4 linked regions of the Coturnix japonica genome follow. The protein of the gene in region 1 interacts with the protein of each later gene in a pairwise test. Links are inferred from orthologs where the notes say so. Each region holds a gene or a part of one and is shown in the gene's direction. Other genes may lie near its edges.

Region 1 (4,323 bases):
CACATCAATCCAAATTACAGCTCACACCACGTTCATGATAATGGGACCGCCTGTCTCAGTCAGACCAAGTGAAAATGCTGGAAGGAGCAAAGGCTGCCACATACTGCTGCATCCAGACAGTGCTTACACTTAAACTGGGCTGCAGTGGAGGATAGGGCAGATTGAGACTCCCCTTCCCAGAGGCAGGGGCACAAATGGCTTTTCCAAGGCCTGTTTGTGGCTTGGTTGAGAACGTGTGAGTTCAGATCCCCTACTGCAGACAACCTATACATAACCTTGCACTGCACTGCTTGAACTGGATGTGGGACTGAAGGGTGACTCACACATTTCCACATCCAGCTTCTGCAATGAACTTCTGGCTCCTCTCTCATTCTTAGAGGCCCTGTCTTAAAAGTAAATTACAATAAAGAAACCAACCCAGCAAAATGTCATAATCTGTCTGTGAAATGTCATGCTCTGCAAATGGGTCATGCATATACTGGGCAGGGAGGGTTGGAGAGGGTCACCCTTACTTCTTGGTTCTGCTATCCTATTGCTGTATGTGGGAAGAAGATGGCTGTTATAAACAGGGCAGGAAAGGAATTCATAGCTGTACACTGTGGGTTGGGGTTGGTCGTTTAGTTAACAACTTCCCCAGCTCTAAAATGGGAAAAGCCTTCAGAACAAGAGGCGAAGGAGTCCCAATTCTGAATCATAGGCTCCTTAAGGATGGGGAAGAGCTCTGTGATCAAGTCCAACCCAACCCACCCCACTATGCCCACATCCCTCAGTGCCACATCTCCACACTGAACACCTCCATGGATGGTGACCCCATTGCTCCCTGGGCAGCTGCTCCTTCTTTATTGTCCCTAATACCCAACCTGCACCTCCCCTGCTGTGTCTTAAGGCCATACTGTTGCTGTTACAAAGTTCAAGGGCTGAGCCCACCTTGCCACAACCCCCTTTCAGGAGCTGTGAGAGCAATGAGGTCTCTCCCCCAGCCTGACCCATCTCCTTCCCTCAGCTGTTCCCCATAACACTGCGCTCCCACACACAGCTCCATTCCCATCCCTGGACACACTCCATATCCTCCATATCTTCCTCGTCTAACACCTCACAGCCTGACAGCTGAGACAAAAACCCCAACGAGGTTCCCCTCCATGTTGGGATCCACCCCCGGGGCAGGGCGCTGAGGGAGGCGGTGTCCCGGCCGCTCCCGCCTTCCTTCCCTCCTTTGGGCGGCCCCGGGGAGCAGCCCCACGGTGGGAGTCACGGGGCGGGCGGGCCGCTGCCATGGAGCTGCCTGCCGTCAGCCTCAAGGTACGGGGGGGGATATGGGGCAGAGCCTATGTGGGGCTGAGCTGTTGTGGGGCGAGGTGGGTCGGCTGGGAGAAAAGAGTACGGGGGTGGGCGTTGAGGCTGGTATGGTGCCTTGTGTGGAGGCGTGGGGGTGTTTGTGGAGGGAGAAGTGGCTGTTTCTGCCTTTTGTGGAGGGGTTTTTAGTAGGGGTTGTCGCCCAGGTGGGCCCCCCCTCGGCCTTCTACCTCCCAATTCCCCCCTCCATCCCCCAACTGTGATCCTTAATGGGTTTCTGAGGAGGCGAAGTTGGTGCTGGTCAGGGAACTCACCTCAGGAAGGTGACGGCTTTGTGGGCTTGTATAGACCGACAGAAACTGCTGTTCTGTGTTTTAACTTAATTTCTAGGGGGGGAGGGCGTGGAATGAGGGAGGCTGTAAACTTTTGTGCGATGTTTAGTAGAGAAACGGGAAATAAAAGGACTTCGGAAGTTACCCGTTAACTTCAGGAGGAAGCAGCTCCTCACACAGAGGCTGAAATCGGCCCCCTTTGCTCTTCATGTTGCTCGTGAGACTGAAGCCTTTTAGACTCTTTCCCCTGTTTTTCCTCCATTAGTTATACTTTCAGAGCCTTCTAGGGTGATGTGCTGCTTGTTTCCCAGCTTCCCTGTTGGGGTTTTGGGTGCGTTGCTGAAAGCTTTGCAGTTTGGTTGCAGGAGCTAGAAGAAAAGAGATGCTTCATGAATGAACGAGTCACCATGACAACATAAGTAAAATGTTGCATTTCCTCCCTGCTTTTTAGCAAGCATTCTTAAATCTCCTCCTGGGTAAGAGTGATTTTGACCTGGCCAAAGTGTTCTCAGCATTGGGAAGTACCTTTTGTAAAGTACTGGTTAGGGTGGTGTGGTGCTGAAATGGGTTACCCAGAGTAGTTATGGATGCCCCATCCTTGGAGTCATGTTGGATGGGCCCTGAGTTAGTGATTAGCAGCCCTGCCCATGGCAGGGCATTGGATCCAAAAGATCTTTCAGGTTCTCTCCAACCTAAGCCATGCTGCGTTCTGGGATTCAAGGGCTGTAACACAGTGAGTTAATAATTGTCCTGCATCTTTGTGCTGTCTCTGAGTCGTGGCCTACTGCTCTGAAACACAACCCAAAGGTTGGCAAGGTTCTCATTCAGAGAGGGATTGGGAATAACACACTACTTCTATGCATTGGCGTTAACTGGTTACAGTTTCTCTGTGATCAGATGGATAAACCTAATGACAGAAGAAGAAAACTTCCAAAGACCTGCGTGAATGCAGCATTTGTGCCAGATTGTAGCAAAGTCTCAGCCTTGAGGTCCCTCTTTAACCCGCAGGTAGGACTGTAGCATTAATATGGCAGGCCTTGACCTGCAGTAGATGAAGAATTCACTCATGGAGCAGCATCTACTGGCTCAGCTCTGGTAGTAATGCTCAGCAAAGTGTGGAAAGCAGCATCACCTTATTATTGCAGTGAGTGTTTGATGGCTAGGATTGTTGCAATAGCTATTCTGAATCTTGAAATATCAAGTTTGCTTGAGCTTGGAAAAGGCCCTACAATGAATATGCCTGAAATCAGATGTTTTGTTCTCGGGTGTTTTTATGTGCTAGCTCTGGAATCCTAGCATCATTTTGATTGGAAGAGACCTACGTATGTCACCTAGCCCAGCCTCCTGCTCAAAGCAAAGCTAACTTGAAAAGTAGATCAAGTAGATCAACTCAAAGAGTTGGCAACCACTTTGGAGATTATCTAGTGCTGCTCCCCTGCTAAAGCAAGCACCCCAAAGGAGGCTGCAGAGGAAAGCATCCAGGTGGGTTCTGAATACCTCCAGGCAGGCAGAATGAGTTCCTGTACCAAAGAACTCTTCAAAAAAGCAATGTATGCTCTTAGGTATGGATATATCCCCCTGAACAGATGGGAATGAATTCTTCTGTCTCACCAGGAGGCTGCCTGCAAATTATCTCACGTAATGACTGCAGCTTTAAATAATGTTTTTCATTAACACTCCGTTTTCTGTGTGAAAGCATACCGAGACCATCAGCCAATTCCATAGTGCCCTGAAGAGCTGTCAGATAACTCAGACTAATAGCTCGGAAGGAAATGCTTTGTTTTTCTTCCAGCAGCCCCCTGGATTACCAGCCCTTGCTTACCTGACGTTATGCTGGTGATGGAGCCAGCTTCTTAATTTAATAACTGCAATATTGATCTAGACAGCTTAATATATATATATATATAATAAAACCCACTCTGCGTAATTATATTAACTGCTGAGCCTTGAGGGGTCTTGTGAGTGCATAACGTGCAATTAAATACTACCTAATTAAGAATTTCCCTGATGTTGTGATCGTCTCTTGGGTGAATGCTATTTGCATGTCTCCGTTCTTATCCAAGAACATCTTGTATTTTCCTGATTAGCAGTTTCTGCCTGGTCTCTGCGGTGCAATCTGGGAGGAGGGGGAAGCAGCGGGTGGTGCTGGAGCATTTTGTAGGCTTTCATGAGCAATTAAAAAAAATAGTCATTATTAAAAACCTGTTTGAGCAGCGTTTGATGTTCAGGCGGTCTGTGCTGAATGCTCAGCAGATGTGATAGGGTGCTGCAGTGCAACCAGGGCTTTGCCTTATGATAAGATATCTATGTTGTGATATCTTGGCTGGACAGTCCAAGCCATTGCAGCTGCATCGCTCCTTCTGGTTTCACTCACGTCACAGCTTCATGGGTCATTAACTTTCCTGAAGCCACGAGTTCTGTGTGAAGTTAGAGCAGGTGTAGACATTTTGAGTCAATAAATGTGACAGTATTTGGGCACTAGTGTTGTCCCTGGAAGTGAAAAGAGTGGTGTAGCATGGCAGGATTGGGTCTTTAGGTTCCTAGAAGATGACTTCAGGTCTGTTAATATTGGAGCGAGGCAGGTTGGAAGGGGGTAAAGGGGAATTCACAGTGAAAATGCTGGGAGCTGCAGTCATGACAATTCATGGACTTCTTGGTGGTGGGATAGTAGATTGGTCATATATGAGCTGTGCTAGTT
Region 2 (4,060 bases), on another chromosome or scaffold:
CACTGTTGTTTTTTTGGCTGTTTTAGTTTCTTGCTCTAGTGCTTCAATATCAAAGTCAACATCAGAATCTTCATCACTGTATTTCTCTATTACACTTTCTCTGGGTTTACTTTTCTTTTCTTTAGCTTCAGTTTTATGTTTTATGTAGGCATCCTCCAGTTCAGTTTCTGCTTCTATCATGTCTTCCACTTCACTATCACTGCTGGCTTCTGCATCAGAGCCGTCATCTTCCTGGTCAGAGATAAGGCAAAGGTCTTTATCGTTGGTACACTGTGCAACAGATTTCTGGAAGACATCAAGAATCACATTATTCTGGAGCTCCAGTTGTTGCCAGATCTGTTCTTCATCAAAGTTCTCTATCACCAGCTCTTTCAGAGGACTTCCACGAACTACACTGCTTCCAAGAGCTTTATTTAAATCATAAAGAGTCTTTGTTAAGGTTCTGAAGTCAGCAGCCAGCTCATCCTGCACACTGGGAGTAGGAAAAGAAAAAAAAGAACGTTGAAAAGCACAGCAGGTGTTGTGTTTTTGTTCCCACACACACGCACTTCTGCTCTGCAGAACTCACTTACTTTCATTCATACACAGCTCCTACTGAACTAACCGTGCAGCCACGTTTCTGCAGAGCCCCATCTCCCTGCTGAGGCCCTTTGGTGCTGCAGACCGGCATCCTTCAACAGTTACCGCTTTCACATAACGTTCTACACATCAGAGTACAGCTATCGAGCACTCCCAGCCACAGGGACGTTGCAGTTAAGTCTCTTCACTGCACGTTCCCCCCTTCTGCACCCGCACCTCATTGTATTCTGATCACATGTGAGCAACCCACAAGTTCTGAGGCAGCACAGCACCAAACACCCAAGCTCCCCAGCCACAAAACCATCTCTCTCTGCCGCCTCATCCCTCAGCACTTATCCTCGGGCAGCCATTCAGCTTCTTCCAGTACCAAAACACACAAGGAAGAAACAGACACCCCGACAGCTGAGGAAAGGTCCGGGACGTCGCATCGGCACCGGCATGGCCCGGCAGAACGCGGCTCTGCGCACCACAAGGCCCCAGAAGGCACCATAATGCCGGTCGGACCGGCACGACGCCCCGCGGTACCTGAGGAAGCGCTCTGGTCGCGCCGCAGCAGCTCCAGCCACACGGAGGCATTTCTCCAGTCCGGACACGGCCGCCATCGCCCTCACGTGCAGCTGCCCCGGCCCCGCCCCGAGCACTCGCCAAAAGCTCCGTGCAGCTCCAGCAGCCGGCACCAGCGTTCCGCGCAACAACGTTCCGCCCGCACGGCCTGACCGGGCGCAGCGTCAGGAGGCGGCCCGGCCCCGCCTGCCCGAGGCTGGGCAGACTCATAGCGGTCGGGCGGCGACATGGCGGCCTCACTGGGGCGCGCGGCGGCCGGTAACGGGGTAACGGGGGGCCGGGCGGGGCGGGGCTGATGAGAGCGGGGCAGTGCGGGTAGCGGCACCTCTGCCTGCCCGGTGCGCGCTGCCGCCCGCCGCCTCTCTGGGTGCTTTACGGGCCAGCTGTGGGACCTGCCGGGATCGGCTTTAAAAAGGTCCGATACGAATGGCATTATCTGTCTTAGAATAAATTTACGTGGCGAGCCACCTGCTTAATACTTAAGGCACCAAGACAGAAACAAAGAGAAGCTTGCCTTTAAATTGTAACTTAGAGGTCAAATGCAAAATTCTTTCCTATTCACGGTAGTAATTAACCTCAAGTGTTTCCTCCCCTAACAGTAATGGCAGACTCCCCTCGCTGCACAGTTTTACTGCCACCGACTGCAGGAGAAAAGTGAATGAGACCCGGTGTAGTCCAGTGCTCCTCCAGAGCTATGGTGCCCTTCTGATCCCAAAGTAGCTCTGGCACAAACAGAGCAGTGCCAAGGACAGTCCAGGCCTTGCTGGCTGGCACTTTCCAAGACGCTAACAGCACCTCCTGTGATTTCAGACAGACTGTGCCTGTTACCAGGCATATAACTATTCGCTCCAGAAAGCTCATACGCAGTATACACAGCCCCGCTATGCCCAGCTCCACGTGGTCAGAGCACAGTCTCTGCACTTGGGAGTTTTCCTCAATGTCAAACCAGGCCATAGAGCAGTGCCTGCTGAGAAGGCTCTTCTCACTGTGACCCACAGCTCTGTAACCCCTCCAGAGAGCACTGCTGCACTCAGCAGGAGTTTGCTTGGAGCTATTTACCTCACCGTGTAAGTCAACCAACACTGCCCCCATCGGGGCAACAAGCCTATATTCATATATTCAACGTTTGCAGGATGCCATTCTATGCCTCTATCAAGACAACTGCACACGTTTGAACTCTTGATGCACACAATGCTGGCATTCAGACACTTAACAATTAAAAAAATAACACCCAAATAGATACGTTAAAAATATTCTTCAAATGAAGCTGAACATGGTAACATACATTCCACAGTAATACCAAAACTAAAGACAGTAATCATATACTAGGGCAGGGTGTGCTGAATCTTCTATAAGGGACAAAATGCCTAAAAAGACTCAGATTGGGTTATCAGTGTCTGAAAAATTACGTATTTAAAAAGAACAGTGGGGTAAATGATATATATAGTAGGAGAAGAAACTGCATGTGTGAATTTGCATGTGCACGTTTGTCAGACAGGGACACAGTTGGACAGACACTTCACTCGCAGTCTCAGTTGGTTTCAAAAGAAACAAAGTCTTATTTTTTAACATTGGATAAAGTTCAGAATTATCTGAGTAATTGTGTAAGTTACTGGATGAATGCTTTTGTGTTTGAAGAATGTAACCACATCTCTCTGAACAAAGGACCGGCTTTGTTATGTATGCATAATTCACTGAAACATGAAAGTGATGGAGTTTCATTCTGAAGTTGCTGGAAAGCTTTCTTTTTCACTGCAGGGTCATCCTTTGATTATTGGGTGTGCTACTTCTTAGCATGAAAATGAGGCCAAAAACATGAAGATGAGTAAAGAGTAGAATTTCAATTAACTAGTAACTATATGGCTACTAATCTATGTAATGCCATAAAAATACAAATGCTTTTTGTTTATTCTCAGTCAATCAAATCCTTATGGAATTAAAACATGCATATGACTAGAGATAGAATAAAGTCACACATCTTCACTATTCTAAGAAAAACCTTCATTCATACATACTCACTGAAAAAGTAGAGTTCTTAGGAGGGGGAAGTGGATTGATGCATAACTAATGCTTATAAGTATTTTGACTTTACAAGAATCTTAGAAGTATCCTTAACCTCTTCACTCCATTGTCATGGCTGGAAATACTGCAGAAATCAAATGTTTCTTGAGTAGAACCCAACAGAAATAACACTTTCTATTTCCTTTACTATAGCTTCAGTGTAAAGGTGGCTTATATAAAGATGTTGACCAAGACAGTGATAAATAGTCAAAGGTTATTAGTAAAGAAAACTCACCAATGTCAAAGCCTGGACTGGATAGCCAAGGCAGTCTCCACCAGGGAGCAATCTCCAAGAGATGCTGCCTCAGTGGTGGTCAGCCCTTAAATGAGGTCTCAGGGGGGGTGGAGTCGAAGTCCACCCCTTCTGGGAGCACAGCTCCATTACTCTCACCTGTGCTCCCGCAGCTGACCCAACACTTGCCTCAGCTGATTAATCAGTGATTCCAGCTGTGATTTCCCATACACTTCAGTAACAGCCAAGTAACAGTCTACCTCTCTAATTTTTTGTCAGTTTACTTGAAAGTAGACAAAATGCAAATTTAATCATAATAGCTGTGTAATCTTATGCCCTGTGTGAAGCATAGCAACGGTTACAGATGGGAGATATCAAGATGACTGGGGAACGTTGTAGCTTTTCCTACCAGTCATGACTGCCTGAAAATCTACATTAGTAGTATTTCCATTCAGTCATGGCATATCAATACTTGGAAACAGGAATGAAATAAGAAAAGTGCTTAGAAAACATCAGAAATAGTATAGCAAGTGGTCATTTCACATCTTCCTTGCCTTTTGGAAAATACTGACTTGAAAGTTTCTCTTGCTTCACCAAGAATTGAATTAGACCTTAAAAAGCGAT
Region 3 (4,358 bases), on another chromosome or scaffold:
ACCATTTGGTTTGAGGATGGGATGCTTCTCAAACACCTGCAGCCCAGCCTCAGCATCATCACCTGCTTCAACATCTCTGGGCAAAGGGCCCCTTAGTTCTTTGGTGCCACCAGGAAAAGAGCAAACAGCAGAAAACAGCACAAGTCTGCACACAGCATCCCTGACCCTCCGAGAGTCCTTGTCCACGGCTGTGACCTCCCTGATGCCATCTCCGCAGCCAGACCTTGGTTTGACTGCCTTGCTGTCACATGGCTGAGATGAAAGTGCATGGAAAGCCATGTGAAAAATGCCACATTGACCTGCAAAGAGAAATGTGGAAAAATCCATGCTGTAAAACTCCTTTTAAACATGCAATTGAGGGTGCAGGCCGCACCACGTGCAATGCAGATTCCAGTGCATAGAAAGCTTATGCTCTCTCCATACACAATTAATTGTGCAATTATTGCAGCCATATGGCCACGCTCCTTTGGCAAGGTAGCATCTAAAAGGTCTTATTTGGTCAAGTTGAACTTTGTGCGGAGAGGATACATTCCTGGTGTGAAAACCATTTATTCCTGTAGGAATCCCTGGCACTCAGAGGAGGTTGACTTTACACAGAGGATCTGATCCCTTCATGTCCCTGCCCAGTTCCGGGGTGAACCATTTGCTGTGGTGTAAGAGGCAGCCCTGAAGGCAGAGAAGCTCCTGGCTGAACAGCCCCGTGATCCCCAGCATCCCATTGAGGTGAGAAGGTGAACACAGCCCAGCATGCAGAGCTATCTGCGACTCAACAGGAGAGGCTGAAGTCAGCTGGAAGCTGGTTGCCATCCAACAAGCCTGGGACAAGCTGTCAGCACAGATGTACCGGGGATGGAACAGACGTGTGCCCCAGCCCCGCTGTGGGACAAGCTGCACTTGTGATTGTGCTGTACAGGAGGAGTGCTGTGAGTGCATCCACTGCAGGCCTGGACTGGCCAGAGCAAATACAGCACTGCTGCCCTGCTGCCTTGGGAGCCCTTGGGCTCCTCCATAGACCTGAACGCTGTCATGAGAGTGACTGGGTGATCCTCAGTCCCAAACACCCACGACCCCACAGCTCCTTGTATGTGTACAGGGTCCATCTCCATCCCAGGCACAGTGTCATCTCCTGGGTGACCCCTTGGACCCCACATCTATCGCCATCCCCACTCCCTGCCCCCCAACTCTTGGCCATGCTGTGGGGACACCCGTTGCCCAGCTCCCCCTTATCGCGGTTCCTCCTGGGCCTGTTCACCATCGTGGGGACCCCCACCCTCCTCAGCCGTCACGGCCCCTTTCCTGAGGACCCCTCGGACACAGCGCTGCACCCGGAGCTCTCCATCTTCCATCGCTTCACCCCGCTCCCTTTCTTACACACCCCCCCCGTGCCCTCCGCAGCTCCACAGTTGCCCTTTCTTTCCCCCCTCCCTCGTTCTTATTATCCGTCCGGCCCCGGCCCCGCTCCCGGCCCCATCCCCGGCCCCGTCCCTCCTCTCCGGCCCCGCCGAGGGGAGGATCCGCTCCCCTGGGCCGTTCCGCCTCGCCCCTGCGCCGCCCTGCGCTCTCCGCTCCGCTCGGTTCCGCTCCTCTCCTCTCCGCTCCGCTCCGGCTCCGCTCGCTCCCCGCGCCGGGGCCGCCGGCCCGGCATGAAGGTTCTCCGGCACAAGATCGAGCTGCTCACAGGTACCCGAGCCCCGGGGGCACGGCGGGTCGCGCTGCCGCATCGTTCCATTCGCATCCCATCCGAAGGTTGGGGCTCAGCTTCGCGGTGGCTCCGTTCTTTGCTGCCGCAGCCCTCGGGCTCGGAGCGCTCGTGGCCCCGCGTGGGCTGGGGAGGTTATGAGGGCTGCGGGGTCCTTGTGCGGGGCTGCCGGAGCATCCTGCGGCTCAGCCTCGGGGCCAGCAGCCCCCCTGCCAGCTTCCCCGGTCAGCCTCGACCCGGCTGTGGGGGCTTGTCCTGCGCCGGGGGGTGGGAGGGGGCCCACGCCGTGCGCTGTGAGGTTTTCCAGCAGCCCCGTTCCTCTGGTTTCTCCCCCCCATCCCCGTCTGCCGCACGCCGCTCCATTCACCCCGAGGAGCTGTGCCGGCACCCCGGGGTGCCACGCTGGGCAGCACACGGGGGGCAGCAGGGCGGCCCCTGGGGGTCACCTGCCTTCTGGTCACCACTGTTAAACTCTTCCTGCGGCCTCACTGGGATGAGAAGTATGACAGTGAGCAGTAATGCGTTTCCTTGCCGTTTGCTGATTCTCTTTCAATAAGTGAACACTGGGCTGCAGGTTGCCAGGGAAGGCAGAGCCAACGGGGCTGCCTCCATCTGCATCTCCGCGGTGCCAGGGCCCCGCAGGGCAGAGCCGCAGTGGCCGATTGCATCTCCCTTCCTCGGCTCAGCCCTGGAAGGTGCAGGGAAAAGGCTGTTTGCAGGGGTTTGTGCTGCCGTGCTGTGAGAGCCCAGGGTGGGTGGTTCCTGGGCACGTGTCTGATCCGTTGAAAAGAGGGAAATGGAAAAGGGGTCGCTTCAATTGCTCCTGGCAGCGCACACAGAGTGTGTCCTACACAGCAGTGCCTTCAGGGGAGCAGCAGGGCACTGTGCTCCTGGCCCTCAGCTGCTGCTTGGCTGTGCAGCTGGTTGGTGCTGTGCTCTGTTTGGGATGGGTTTGGGATTAGGGAGGAAATGTGCCCCAGCTCTGCTCAGGACGGGTTGGCACCACGTGGGGAAGGCGGAGTGGGAACACCTGGGGATGGATCTGCTGGGGAGTATTGGGGTGAGCCGGAGGGGAAAGTGCTCAGTGCCAGCCCTGCTGGCACCTCCTCGGCCATCATGTCCATCCTGGGCAGCTTGGAGCTGGGCAGGACTTGGAGGGTCCCCATGCTGCCACTGGCTGGGCCCACAGCCTGGGGCTGCCCACTGGCACTGCTGGGCACCTCCAGGGAGCCACGATGTGGCTGTGATTCCTGCTGCGGGGCTGCAGCACCCCTGGGTCTCCCTGTTATGGAGATCCCCAACGCTGACCCTTAGCTCCCCTCCTGCTCCTGAGCCTATAACTGCTCCTGATGGCTGTCATTCTGCTCTGAGGATGCTGGTTGGAGTGGGGTTCTGCCATGCCTCCCATGGGCCGGTGTTCCCCCCACCACACACCAAGATCACGGGGCCGTTCCTCATCGCTCAGCCTCCCTCCCTCTGATTATCGGCTTTAATTAACGAAGGCACCGACCGTGCGCTAAGTGCTGTCCCCAGCCGCCCTGGGACTGCGGCCACGCAGCGGTCGGTGCTGTCAGTGCACGACTCTCCTGCTCTTCCAGACCTGGCTCCCGGTGAGGCCAATTTCCCCCCACTTTTTAACCTTCGCTCCCTTGAGATGGGGCACAGGGCTGGAGCTGCTGTGGGACTGGGGCTGCAGGAGCTCTGGGAGGTTTTGTGCTGCTGCTTCTGTTTCCAAACCTCTCTGGTTTGTCGGACTGCTCCCAGAGAGCTGAGCAAAGTGTGGTTGCTGCAGAGAGCAGCCAGGTGGCAGAGCCCGCTCGGTTTTACAGCTGAAAACTCGGTTGGATTAGCAGAACACAGCTCTGGAGGGAAGCTTCCCATCACTTCTGTGCTCTGGGTGGCTGGGGCAGGGCTGAGCACACCCTGTGATGTTACTGTAGTTCTGCAGCTCCAGCTGGGGCTGCCTCAGGTGAGGTGCTGAGCAGAGCACGCAGCAGGCCTGGCTGATGGAGCGGGGGCTGCTTCTGCTTGGTGCTGGCACAGACCTGTCCTCGCTGGGCTCCATGGAGGGATTGTGTGGGAAGCAGCAGGAGTATGGCTGGGGAACGGGTGGCCATGGGACCTGCTGGGACCCACCCTGAGCATACACAGGGCAGCCTGCACTGTCTCTGTCCCCATTCCCTTTGTCTTTGTCACTGTCTGAGTGTGACCAGCTACTGTGCAGCCCCTCGCTCCCCTTTGCTTCCTGAGCTGTGCTGATATCTGGGGGTACGCTGGCAATGCTGGCATTGGGGTGTACAAAGCCTCGGTGCCCTGCTCAGCAGCACACAGCCCCACACACAGCGAGCACCATCCCTGCAAGCCCTTACTCTGTAGATGAGGGGAGAGCTGTGTGGGTAAAGGCTCCGGGTTTGGCTTCCTCCCATCATTGCCATACCACCTTTGGGTGGGCTCTGCTCCCTGACGGAGCCATTCCAATGCTCAGAGCGTCCCTCTGCGTGGCTGAGAAATGTCACACCTCGGTCTGGCTCTGCAGGGAGCTCTCCTTTGCTCCCACACTGTCTGCCCATAGCCTGCACGCAGCTCAGACATTGACCCATCTCTCTGGCCAATGCTGGGAGCTGCCGTGGAAATGGGACCACTGTCGCCCCAGGCTGTG
Region 4 (4,247 bases), on another chromosome or scaffold:
TCCCATGTGAAGTGCAGCCCACAGAAGGGTTTGCCATGGGGTGCTCAGCCTTTCTGCCTCGTGTCACCTGGTGGCACCTCAAGCACTTCTTCCTGGGTTGGGATGAGATTGGCAACGTGACCCCGAGGCGTCCAGAAACCCCAGACAGGAGAGTGACCTGTACAATCTATCAGTAGGCTTCTAATTGTAAAACTAGGAAATAAAGAATAAAAAGAGAGGCACAATTTTGTTCTTTTGTTGTATATAGTAGTTCGTGTTTGTACATAACAGCCTTTTTACTGCTCACAGATGAACCTATCTTTTGTGAAGAGTTCAAACAGAAACGTGTGAGTTTGGTTCCTCACGGGGGGGAAACATATTGCAATTGCTTTCTAGAGCAGAATAGCATCCATTTGTCTCATGGATAAGCTGTGGAGATTGGACTCACCCTTCCCTGTTCAAATGAAGCTGAGTTCCACAGGGCTTTGCTGAAATCCCCAGGTAGGCTGCTGGGTTTGGCTAAAACTATGCAAGGGATGAGCCAGTGCTGCTGTGCAGACTTGGATATTGAACTCTGTCAATCTCCCACACTTGTTTGAAGTGGGGTGGATTATTGCTGTTGTTAAATGGAGGCGTTTTTACTTCCCGGACCTCTTTCAGGTTGTCCAAGTTGCAGAGGCTCAGGTTTGCTGTCATTAAAACACAAATGTTTTTTGCAAATAAGTAGTGAGTAGCTGACTTGGCTGCCTTGCTGGATCTGAGGCAGGTGTTTTGGATACCTTGTAAATAGGTAGAAAGCATTTGTGGAATTAAAAGCATGTTTGTCTTTTCTAATCATGTGCTTTCCTTGTTTTTTCCTATGTAATAAATGCCATCAATTGCTTTAACGTTGCTGTACCTCTAGGAGATGTGATGTGGCAGTCTGTGAGTACTGCTGACAGATCTCAGCTCTCATATTGGGTGGGAGGAACCACCACGGGTGCAATTGGCTCTGATAGGCAGCTGGATAAGATCATTTTACTCAAGGAATCTCCATCTCTATAAACAGTTCCATGTTTTTTGAAGGCTGTTGGTGCTTCCGAGTAGAAGACTGACCCACCTCTCTGCAAAATCCTTCTGGAAGAGACTGACGTGGAATAATCACCATCTCATTTATGGAAGCGAAAGGTGGATGTGAAGTGCTCTGCCACTAGAGCGGCGCTTTGGTTTGAAGCTTTGGCTGGATGTGAGCTGGGGTGAGACAACATGGAGCTCATCCCGTGCGCTCTGGAGCCCCTTCCCGCAATGCTGGGGGGGAAGCACGTTGTGCTAACTGTGTCTGGGTAGAGCATCGAGGAGGGTTTTGCCCTCAAAACTCCTGTTTCTAGGTCTCATGAGGCACTTTAATTAAGGTTTTAAGGGGGTACGAGGCCATGAGGCTGCGCTCCGCCGACCGCCAGGGGGCGCTGTGACGCTGGGTGCCCCTCTGGCCGGCCGGAAGCAGCGCGGTCGCTCTGTGCCCACGTGTGTGTCCGCGTTGGATCGAGTGCGGTTCTCCATCCCCGCGTGGTACCGGGGGGCTCTTCCCCTCGTGGGCCGCCATGGAGCAGCCGCTCAGGTCCCTCGCCCTCAGAGCCCTGAGGCTGCCGCCCTCCGCCCGCAGCTGCTGCTTTGGGGTGGGCCCCACGCGGGACCAACAGCCCACACGGTTATACACAGCACGGGAGGGCTCCAAGGGCAGGAGCAGGCCGCAGGGAAGGAGGGTTCTGCCCATTGAAAGGACGAGGGGCAGCGAGATCCTGTTCGGCGTGGCGCCGTGCTCCATGGCGCTGTCCCAGGCCAGGAGGGATCTGTTCAGGCTGTTCCTTAAGCAGAGCGTTGGGCCGCAGCGCCTCGTCAGCAGCGAGTTGGTGCTGCAGGCCGCGGCACGAGGGGTTCCCGTGCTACACGTTGGGAGGAGGGAGCTGGACGAGCTGTGCGGGGGACGCGTCCACCAGGGGGTGTGTTTGGAGGCCACCCCGCTGCGCTACAAGAGGATGGAGGAGGACGAAGGGAGCGATGGAGAGAGCACGAACCGACAGCTGCTATGGCTGGTGCTGGAGCAGATCCAGGACCCCATGAACCTGGGGGCACTGCTGCGCTCTGCCTACTTCTTAGGGGTGGACAGAGTGGTGACGAGCCGGAGGAACAGGTATGGGGTCGGCTGTTCACTCCTGCAGCACTCAGGGTTTCAATTCTTCCTAAAGTGGTCTCAAGTCTAAAGGCACAGCTCTCAGGACTGACCTCAAAATGGGGTTTGGGCAGAGCTGGGCAGTCGAGGCTGTGGGATACAGCGTTCCAGGCTGGCACAGAGCCTCTTGGGGTGCTGGTTTTAAAGCCTGTTTCATGTTTTAATTGTCTGCACACATAGTGCTGCAGCCCGCCTCCTGGGTTTGTTTCTGAGCCCTTAGGTTCCCCATAGGAAGGTGCATCCATTGAGAGAGCAAGACTAGATAAAATTGGGTTGTAGGTGCATAGCAAGAAAACACAGAAGCAGAAATCCTCCTCGTTTTTCCTCCTTCTGTTCTTATGTGAAACCTTTCTTTTGCAGCTGCCCCTTGACTCCAACAGTGAGCAAAGCGAGTTCTGGAGCGATGGAAGTCTTTGATGTCTACAGCACAGACGATCTCCGGAGCTTTTTGAAGGTAGAATGACGCACGTTTCTTTTCACTGTGTTACAGTATATAGAAAACTTCAAATAGTAATGTATGGGAAACTTCAAATAGTGCATATATTGAGCAGAGAAGGTGCAAATAGAGGACTGATACAGATGGAGGCATTGTCCTGGAGCCCGGCACATGGTGGCAGCATTGGGCAGCTTTTAGTGTAAGGGAGCTTTGGGAAACCAGAGCTGTGTGTGAGCTGCAGCCAGTCTGTGCTCTGAGGGTAGCTCTGCCGTTTTGAGGAGGAGCTCATCAGATTGTGCTGTGACCATGAGCAGGAGTAAGAGTGGATTCTTCCCACTCTGCCAGAATCCGGTGTTGGGCTGTACAGTAGGTCTGTGGTAGCTGGAGCTCTGAATAATGCAGAAATGAAAGGCATGTGAAGTACACTGACATTGAAACAGCTGGAAGGATCACTTTGTTGCTGTAAAGTTTGAATTATTAATGTTTTGAGCTGTTGTAGCCATTCATTTTATTGGACCCAGATTCTCTGGCCTAACCACATGTGTTGTCTGGTGTAAATTTGATATCACTTAATGTAAAAGTGTCAGTTTCACAGGAAATGAAGCTGGCACGAAGCAGCAGCAGCTCTTTTATTGTTAAAATAGGCTTTTAAGACAAATAATTGAGGTACTTAATATTAGGGCAGGGGAAGGAAGGCTGCTTCTCTGGTTACATGAGCTGCTGAGTGTTGTGCCCTGTTTTTTTATGAACTGATTTTTGGCATCTGAGTTTGAGAATGTGCAGCTGTATTTGAAAACATTTCTGGGGGCTTCTGCTGGTTGAGCTTGCGCTTCAAAGCTTCCACTGCATTGCTCTATTCATTAACCTTAAGCTGATTTGTTTAACACAACTTTCTTCATGCTTTTCTGGCACACACACACAAAAAAAAAAACAACCCAGAAACAAACAAAAACCCCCCTGGAACTGTTATGTTGGCAGAAATAATGTAATTTCAGTTGCTTTTTGTTTGCTTGCTGAGCTGGAAGAAACACCAGAAGGAAAACTACCTCTTGTTTTTGTTGTTCTCATTCAGGGCTTGTGTCTGGTTCTGGTAGGGCTTTGGTGGTAAAAATTCAAGGGATGGCAAAAAGCCACTCAGCTTAACTGAAAATCTAGGACATAAATACGGTTTTGTACATGTCTTGTTTTCTTTTTAAGCTTGAAAAGTTAATATTGTTCTTAACATTTGTTTCTTCTCCTGTTCCCAGGCTAAAGCTGCAGAAGGTTGGGAAGTTGTGGGAACAGTGAGCCAGTCTGAAACTGTGGAAAATGTTCCTGTCATCAGCTGCTTGGAATTTCGGTGGAATAAACCCATTATTTTAGTAATAGGTATTTCAGTTTACAGAGCTTTGGTCTTGTGGCAAGTGTATATGTGAGGGAATGATCAGGGTGGCATTCCATCCTGTAAGCTAGTTGCAGATCTGTTATGTTCCGTTATGGTTTGGTCTGGAAAAGAGAAGCTGAGCAAGTACTAAAATGATCTGCCTGCAAATGGGATGTGGTCTTAAAGGAAGGGGGAAGGCCAGGAGGTTTCTCACAGTGTATTGTGTGAGCAATGAGTGCCACTTTGCCAGTCCTGAGCAA

Evidence for each region.
Region 2: the proteins of AGTRAP (region 1) and MCEE interact in binary tests that used the Homo sapiens proteins (3 or more experiments, as listed by UniProt). The two-hybrid records come from large-scale screens. The link is inferred for Coturnix japonica from reciprocal best matches to the Homo sapiens genes AGTRAP and MCEE.
Region 3: the proteins of AGTRAP (region 1) and NDRG4 interact in binary tests that used the Homo sapiens proteins (3 or more experiments, as listed by UniProt). The two-hybrid records come from large-scale screens. The link is inferred for Coturnix japonica from reciprocal best matches to the Homo sapiens genes AGTRAP and NDRG4.
Region 4: the proteins of AGTRAP (region 1) and MRM1 interact in binary tests that used the Homo sapiens proteins (3 or more experiments, as listed by UniProt). The two-hybrid records come from large-scale screens. The link is inferred for Coturnix japonica from reciprocal best matches to the Homo sapiens genes AGTRAP and MRM1.

The regions. Positions count from the first base shown.
Region 1 is NC_029536.1:4,903,888-4,908,210, reverse strand, and holds the start of AGTRAP (type-1 angiotensin II receptor-associated protein), read left to right. Parts: upstream 1-1,430; 5' UTR 1,431-2,522; coding exon 2,523-2,633; intron 2,634-2,907; exon of another isoform or gene 2,908-3,107; intron 3,108-4,323. UniProt on the Homo sapiens protein: Appears to be a negative regulator of type-1 angiotensin II receptor-mediated signaling by regulating receptor internalization as well as mechanism of receptor desensitization such as phosphorylation.
Region 2 is NC_029525.1:4,852,031-4,856,090, forward strand, and holds the start of MCEE (methylmalonyl-CoA epimerase, mitochondrial), read left to right. Parts: upstream 1-1,254; 5' UTR 1,255-1,370; coding exon 1,371-1,401; intron 1,402-4,060. Other genes in the region: MPHOSPH10 (U3 small nucleolar ribonucleoprotein protein MPP10), read right to left, coding at 1-472. UniProt on the Homo sapiens protein: Methylmalonyl-CoA epimerase involved in propionyl-CoA metabolism.
Region 3 is NC_029526.1:2,081,583-2,085,940, forward strand, and holds the start of NDRG4 (protein NDRG4), read left to right. Parts: upstream 1-1,552; 5' UTR 1,553-1,643; coding exon 1,644-1,680; intron 1,681-4,358. UniProt on the Homo sapiens protein: Contributes to the maintenance of intracerebral BDNF levels within the normal range, which is necessary for the preservation of spatial learning and the resistance to neuronal cell death caused by ischemic stress.
Region 4 is NC_029534.1:6,933,089-6,937,335, forward strand, and holds the start of MRM1 (rRNA methyltransferase 1, mitochondrial), read left to right. Parts: upstream 1-1,441; 5' UTR 1,442-1,559; coding exon 1,560-2,149; intron 2,150-2,548; coding exon 2,549-2,642; intron 2,643-3,871; coding exon 3,872-3,992; intron 3,993-4,247. UniProt on the Homo sapiens protein: S-adenosyl-L-methionine-dependent 2'-O-ribose methyltransferase that catalyzes the formation of 2'-O-methylguanosine at position 1145 (Gm1145) in the 16S mitochondrial large subunit ribosomal RNA (mtLSU rRNA), a universally conserved modification in the peptidyl transferase domain of the mtLSU rRNA.